Linked DNA regions of Mus musculus. The protein of the gene in region 2 purifies or fractionates together with the protein of the main gene of each other region. This does not show direct contact. Links are inferred from orthologs where the notes say so. Each region holds a gene or a part of one and is shown on either strand. Other genes may lie near its edges.

Region 1 (4,151 bases), on a different chromosome or scaffold from region 2:
ATGCATACTTTTCACCTTTAATGGCCTACATGTTTGAAGGAGGCAACCCCCAAACATTCTGTCCACCGCTGTGTGCTCTGCATTTCAGAGTGCAGTGCTTTGGATGGATGGAAACTTTATTATAATGTTTAAAGTTATCAGTTCATGGTTACTTTTCTTCAATCAAGAAATTGAGCTATTGTAAAAAACAGAATTTTGTCTTAGTTCTTTTTTTTAAAGATTATTTATATTATGTATGTGAGTACACTGTTGCTCTCTCTTCAGACACATCAGAAGAGGGCATTGGATCCTATTTCAGATGGTTGTGAGCCACCGTGTGGTTGCTGGGAATCGAACTCAGGACCTCTGTTAGAACAGTCAGCGCTCTTAACTGCTGAGCTATCTCTCTAGTTCCTTAGTCCTTAATTTAACTGTTAGTATTACATTATCAACTTCAGAGTATAAAGTTACCTCTATTTGTTAAAAGGAAACAAGTTCTAACAAGATGAGGGTGTGTTAAATAAACAGATGAAAACAGGAGCAGCGCTGAAGATGTACAGCCCTGGGGACCAGCAGTAGGCCTGTGCTCCCCACTAACATGGGAGGACATGGACCAAGACTCTCTATGGATGTGCAAAACCTCATGGTACCAACCCCATATCAAGCTTTCCACCATAAAAACTAATCTAATATCCAAGACAGCTCACTACTAAGAGGATATCAGGCAGGTAACACACACACTGGGGAAAAGGTGAGACTCGTGTCCCTGGCTAGATGCAGTGAGATGGCACAAGATTTTGTCACGGTACTTAGAAGAGTGCTCAATTTGTATCACTATAACCGTATCAAATTCCCATTAAATAATTAAATATTTTTGGACCATAGCTGACCCACAGGCAACAGAAGCCACAGAAAGCAAACCCTGAGACAGACAGACAGCCTCATGTAAACAACTTCCCACCATTTATCAAGACAGATAATACAGAAGGGACACCAAGCAGTTTTGGGGGAAGGATAATGAAAAGTTCAAGTTTTGAAAACATAAGAACATAGCAGGCAGTGGTGGCTCATGCCTTAATCCCAACACTTGGGAGGCAGAGGAAGGGAGTTGAGGCCAGCTAGTTCTACAGGTGAGTGCCAGGACAGTCAGAATTACAGAGAAACAAAACAACAGCCAAATGTATGAAATTATAGTTTGAGTTCTGGTAGACTTGGAAATAAAGTCCTGGAGTTGAGAAAAAAAGGAGATTCAAATAATGCGGATGAATGTTTAAGCTTGTCATAAGCAGTTTCAAAAATAATAGGGTGAATATCTAAGGAACACTATTTTTATAGACACCCTGACGCTTCTCTGTAGTCTCTCTAAGGTTATGGACATCTGACACAGGTCTAACGTGCAACTGTCAGGATGGATGACGTCAATGAACCCCGGAGCAGAAACAAAGGCCTGCAGCACTCTCCTCCCCTATCTACAGACAGGTCTTGTCTTGTTTTGCCAGCTATAAAATGAAAAGCAATTCTCTCCTTATAGGTACTTTAATGATTGTGAGAAAATTCAAAACTGTGGAACATGGGAACAGAGCTCCCAGACTTTACACTTAGGGTTTACTGTCCTCTTAAGGACTATAGTGGGTATCAAAGACCTTGTTTCAAGTAGAATGTGTAGCTTTCCATACAGCAGGTGCCCTACCAACTCCACTGAACACGGAAACTATGGCAGTTATCCTGGCCGTACCTTTCCCTCCTGGTACTTAGCTCTATCAGTTGTAATTATGGGCACAGCGCAATAAACTTTACAAGGGGTAAGTATGGTAGAAAAAGGGGTCTGAAGCACACATACATCTTCAACAACTTGAGGTTAAGTTCGTAAAGACGATTTTTCGGCAGCATTTTGGTGCTAAGTAAGAACGAGTTACCGGTTTTTAATGTGAATTCATGTATATTATCTAAGTTGTGCTCATTTGATTTTTTTTTTTTTTCTGGCAAAAGAAGTTAAAAGGAAGGAAAAAAAAAACGAAGCACGTTGTGGTTAAAGCCATTTCCTCAAATATTACTGTGTCTGTGAAGTTCTACATGGTCTAAGCAGAAGAGTCCAATTTAGTCGGGAGTATTTTCAACGTTTACCTGGGAACCAAGTCTCAGCGAGAAGTACGCACACCCCCTTCATTTAAATACGTGGGCGTCTGATTACTCGGGGAATTCCAGGGCGTGCGTTCAGCTGGCGAGCTTTCCGCAGCCCCCGATAGAGACCAGTTTCACCCATCTGCTCTACGCCCGGGGATGCCTGGTCCAAAGCCCGCTGTGGGCACACTCCGGCGGCTCCCTAGGCTAGCAGCTCCCGCGGCGGTGGCGTGGGATGGGGGATCGGCAGGATGGAAAGCCACCAGCGACGAGCGGATGGCAAGGAAACATCCAAGCCCACCGACAGGCTTAACCGCGGACTCCCGGGTCGCTGGTGGATCGTCTCCAGCCAGCTCCCGGGAAGCAGGCAGGTCGTGCTGTGCCAGGACCCCGCGCTCTTCCGACCTGAAGTTCCCCGTCGCTCAGCTCCGGGTTTCCGCTTTCCTCCGCCCGCCCGCCCCGCTGCGCCCCGCTGCGCCCAGCCCGGCGGAGCTACTCACGTCCTTCTTCACTTCAGTCAAATCCTCCTCCGTGAGGGACGGTGCGGGAGCCTCCATGGCCCAGGCCGGGATGGCGTCCTTCCGGCCCGCGCCACCCCGCCCAGACTAAGGGCTCGGGCCTCCGGGAATCAGGCTGTGACTTCGGGGGGACTAGGAACAGAAGCGGGGGAACGGCCGGCTCACGGACGAGGAGGTGGAGACCTCAACGCCCCACTTCCGGCTCCGCCCCTGGGGCCAGCGGTGCCGCGCTCAGCGTTCTTCCTAACTCAGGCACCACCCTTCGGCGAGGCGGGTCTGCCTGCAGGCCCCACCCACCTACGTGCCAGCCAATCAGTACTACCCTCGGTTACGTCTCTGCTTCCGCAGTGGCTCCGCCCACAGCGGGCGTCCCTCTAACCACGCCCCCTTGTCATTTACATAGGCTTGCGGATTGGACGCCTGAAGGATTTGTTTCCGTGGGCGGAGCACTGGCCGCTCAGTTTAGCGGGATCTCCCCGCCTTCGCAGACTCCTCGTTTGGGTGGAGTGTGGGCTGAGTCGGCCAGAGCATTTTGGTTTGCTTCTCTTTTCCAGATGTTGCGGAACAATTTCCTGTTGTGCTGAGCCAGGTTTTACAGTTGCGTGATCATACGTATATGTATACACGCACACATAACTTCCGTTTGAGGGCCTGCTCTGGGGGGCCACTGCCATTTACCACCTAGAACTAGGGAGACAGGAGCAAGGAGATCTTGAGAGCAGAAAACAAAACGACAAAACACAAAGAAAAAAAAAAAACTGTTAAAAGATTTAAAAATTACCTGCAATCCCATCAATTTAGCAGCACAGGTAGTGTTTGGGTACTTTTAAGTCTCTATTCATTAGAAGCATTTCTCCTTATTAATCTATGCAGTAGAGACAAATTTAAAAAGCTAGGGCCTCTAGGAGTATATTTAAGGTTCTGAAGCTACTTGGTACACAGTTACACTCTCTTATTGTTATCCTTTATCTCTGTTCAGTAAGTAAATTCTAGGGATGCTCTGATGGGGAAGTTGTTTATTGGAGGCCAAATGGCTATTTTCAGAACGATATTTTAACTCGTAGCCCGTGCAAAACGTGTCCTAGTGGATGAGGTGCTCCACATAGAGTCCTAGGCAGAAAATGATTATGTGGTCGATGAAGTAAATCTGCAAGTGTAGACTGAAATGTCAAGAGGACCAAAGGCAACAGGAATCTTTATCTAAAACAAAAGAACCAGTAGAGGCTTAAAGCCACATCTCTGTAGCTTTGATCAGAGTTCTGGAATCTTGGTGTTTACATTATGCCAGGTCTTTTTTTACGCTGATGTCTAGTATACTAGAGTGTTTTCCTGTGTCCTTAGTCATCCGTTGTCTTGTTATAACCCAATTTGCTTAATCATTTGCTCTTTCCTGTAGCAACCATCTGTTGAATGGCAACTACTGAACTACACCCAGATCTTCTTCTAGCAAATCAAACACCTCTGTCCTCCAGCTAGGGTGTGGTGGCACAAGCTAGCTAGCTGTGTTGGCCAACCAACTGCTTGCATCTGACC
Region 2 (3,562 bases):
AGCAAGTTCAAGCCCAGTCTGAGCTACCCTGTCTCACAGGGGTGGAGTGAGGGGAGGCTGGAGGGATGGCCCACATCCTCCTCTCGGAAAGCTACACTCTTGTCTAGGCTTCAAAGGCTCCTGCATATGCACTGTACACATAAAACACACAGGTATACACATACACACATAAGTTAAACATTAATTAAAACATTATAGTCTGAGACATGTTCAGATTAATAATTCTTCCAGAATCCATCTCAATTGATAAGAAAGGGAATGAGCAACCATCTTGGGATCAAGAATGTGCTTGGGGTCAGTGAGCTGGCTCAGTGCAGAGATCACTCAGTGTTAAAGGCTAATGACAGGCATGACTCTGACACTTGGAATCCAAAAAATGTGGGAGGAGAGTTCTAGCTCCAATAAGATACCCTCTGACCTCTATCTATCTGGCCTAGCATGGCATGGCAGCCCCCTCACTCCCCTCCAAACACATATACACCTATTCAAAATTTAAGAACTGATTTGATAATAGTAGTATGAAGCTCCTTAGTGCATAATTTGTGCTTTAAGAGGAAAACATAGAGGCTTATTAATTGAGAAGATCTGTGTACACACGCATAAAATAAAAATCATACATATAGTGTGATTGTTTTGGAGTTTGGGGTTTTTTTTGTTTCTGTTTTTAAGCTCCATGAGTAATTATAGGCAAAGCCAACAACTCATCCTAAAATTTAAATTAATTAAGGTCAGCCTGGTCTACAGAGTGAGTTCCAGGACAGCCTGGGCTGCACAGAGAAACCCTGTCTCAAAAAAAACAAAAACCAAAAACCAAACCAAAACAAAAAAATTTAAAAAAACCAAAGTTTTCAGGGCTGGAGAGATGGCTCTGTGGTTAGGAACAGTGACTCTTTTTCCAGAGGTTCTGGGTTTAGTTCCCAGCCCCACTTGCTAACTGACCATTCACTGTCTGTAACACTAGTTCCAGGGGATCCTCCGCCCTCTTCTGGCCTCCATAGACATTGTACAGACACATGCAGGCAAGATGCCCATACACATAAAATAAAAATAAATAAATCTAAAAAAATATGTTAACAGGCTCAACATACACATTTTTTAATTTAATGAGCAATCCTGATGTATTTTGAGAGAGAGAGAGAGAGAGAGAGAGAGAGAGAGAGAGAAAGTCAACAGTTCTCCCCTTCCATCAAATGGGTTTTGGGGATCAAGCTATGGCGGTCAGGTTCACCAGAAAACACCCTTACCTGCTGAGCCGTCTCCCTAGTCCTCCACAATGCACTTTATTGTTAAGAATTTACTTACAGAGTTTGAATTTAGAATATGAAACATAAGAAAGGCCAGGCTGGGGTTGGCGAGATGGCTCAGCGGGTAAGAGCACTGACTGCTCTTCTGAAGGTCCTGAGTTCAAATCCCAGCAACCACATGGTGGCTCACAACCATCTGTAATGGGATCAGATGCCCTCTTCTGGTGTGTCTGAAGACAGCGACAGTGTACTTATTTACAATAATAAATACATTTTAAAAAAGAAAGAAAGAAAGAAAGAAAGAAAGAAAGAAAGAAAGAAAGAAAGAAAGAAAGAAAGAAAGAAAGAAAGAAAGAAAGGAAGGAAGGCAGGCCAGGCTGAGTAGATGGGCATCTTTTTCGAATTCGCGTGGGCGACAGCACATCTCTCCAGGGAAAGGCCTTGTTACTCTGTACCTGACTCCTCCTCCTCGGCCGCCTGCTCCATCTGCTCCTCTCTCATCTCGTCTTCTGCATCGAGTAAGCCTATAACGAGGTCACTGACGGTCCTGTAGTTCTCACCAGTGGCCAGGATCTGCCACTGAACCGTCTGTCTCACCAGGCTCCTACTGAAGCCCATTTCCAAGGCTGCTTTAACCACAGGCGTGCTCATCATGACGACATCTTCCGAACTTTCTCCAGGGCCAAAATGCACGACTATATGGACAGGGGATTTAACAGATATTAGCAGCGCCCATGCATCTTTTTGTTGTGGTTGTTCTTTTAGGAATCCTTCTAGGCCAGTCTAGCCTCAAGCTTATTATATATTCCAAGCTGATCTCAAATTCATGCCAATTCTCCTGCCTCAGAAAGTGCTAGGCACAAACCAACATATCTGGCTTCATATACTTTTTAAATAGAAAGTTATAGCAATATCAAACCCATTAAAAATAAAAAATAAATAGGTACTATACAATATGCATTTTGCTAACTTTAAAATGACATATATTCAGCCATTGAAGTAAGAATACAAAATACGATTGCCTTTAGATTCAAGTCTGTGATTAGTTCTACTCAAGAGGAGAGAGCAGAGAATGCCCAGGCATTCCACTAGAATCAGGGGCTTCATTCTCTATAATCAATAAACTAATGTGCTTTCTATAGCAAATATATACTTCTACATATTTGCTTCCTTTTGTTTGTATTTACTAGTTGTCTACAATGTTTTAATTGTATATTCATATTCACGCAGCACATACTTTGATATTTCTAGTTCTTTCCATTTCTTGCAAGTGGCATGGTTTCACGCTTTAATTTATGGTTGGGTAATTTTCTTTCATTCTTTTTGTTTGTTTGTGAGGGTCAAGGACTCAGCATATAGACAAGGATCTTGCCTCAGCCTGGCTACCCCAGTGTCCCAGAGTGCTACCCACCCCCTTTCCAGCTTACTTAACACTACAACCCAACCACTTAAAGTGCAAACCTGGTGTCATACTCCCCAAACTGAACGCCATAGCCTTCCATAAAAATCTCAAATCTAACTGTGGTTACATTCTGATCTAACTCTCTGCCTCACCTCTTGCTACTTCCAGGCCATAAGCAGCCTCAGGCACTTGCCCCTTGCACTCTGCACTGGAACTCAGGAACTGATAGCTTTTGATTCAGCAAGCTGGCCTCATAATTCCCTGTCTGCAGCTCCCTCTTCTGGCTAGACAAAATCTTTGCTCTGTTCTTTGAATGTCCCTATTCCATGTTGCTTAGCCTCTGATGTTGTCTTGCCCAGAATATGCTCTGCCCTGTCAGTTAACTGATTCCATTTGTTCTTGGGCTCTCTACTAAGATAAGTATTTCTTCCAGAGTGCCTTTTTTTTTTTTCAGTTTTTAGTTTGCTTTATTTTATGGGTCTTTCTTTCTCTCTTTCTTTCTTTCTTTCTTTCTTTCTTTCTTTCTTTCTTTCTTTCTTTCTTGAGAAGGAATGTGTGCACTATGGCACGTGGGTAGTCAGAGGACAACTTTCAAGAGTCAGCTTTCCCCTCGACCATGTGAGTCCAGGGGCTACAACCTGGGCTGAGTCATCTGCCAACCTTGGTTTGTTCTTTTAAGACAAGGTTTCAGTAGGTTATCCAGGCTGGCCACTCACTGTATAACCCCGGCTGGCTAGGAATGTATGACCCTGTGCCTTAACCCTCCAAGTACTTAGATTGCTGGCCCTGCCCCAGACAGATGCTGCCACATTTGGCCTCCTAGAAAGCCTTTTGTGTTCCCCAGATTTAGACAGTTGTCTCTTCACGTTCTCCTTCAGACCCTGTTCTATTAGCTGGGCATTATCTGTCCCCAATG

What was found.
Region 1: the proteins of Birc3 (region 2) and Bcl10 purify together in Homo sapiens (affinity purification with western blotting; 5 studies listed by BioGRID and IntAct, with this or other methods). This does not show direct contact. The link is inferred for Mus musculus from reciprocal best matches to the Homo sapiens genes BIRC3 and BCL10.

What each region holds. Positions count from the first base shown.
Region 1 is NC_000069.6:145,922,965-145,927,115, reverse strand, and holds the start of Bcl10 (B-cell lymphoma/leukemia 10), read right to left. Parts: upstream 2,855-4,151; 5' UTR 2,658-2,854; coding exon 2,601-2,657; intron 1-2,600. UniProt on the Homo sapiens protein: Plays a key role in both adaptive and innate immune signaling by bridging CARD domain-containing proteins to immune activation.
Region 2 is NC_000075.6:7,852,668-7,856,229, forward strand, and holds part of Birc3 (baculoviral IAP repeat-containing protein 3), read right to left. Parts: intron 1,940-3,562; coding exon 1,700-1,939; intron 1-1,699. UniProt on the Homo sapiens protein: Multi-functional protein which regulates not only caspases and apoptosis, but also modulates inflammatory signaling and immunity, mitogenic kinase signaling and cell proliferation, as well as cell invasion and metastasis.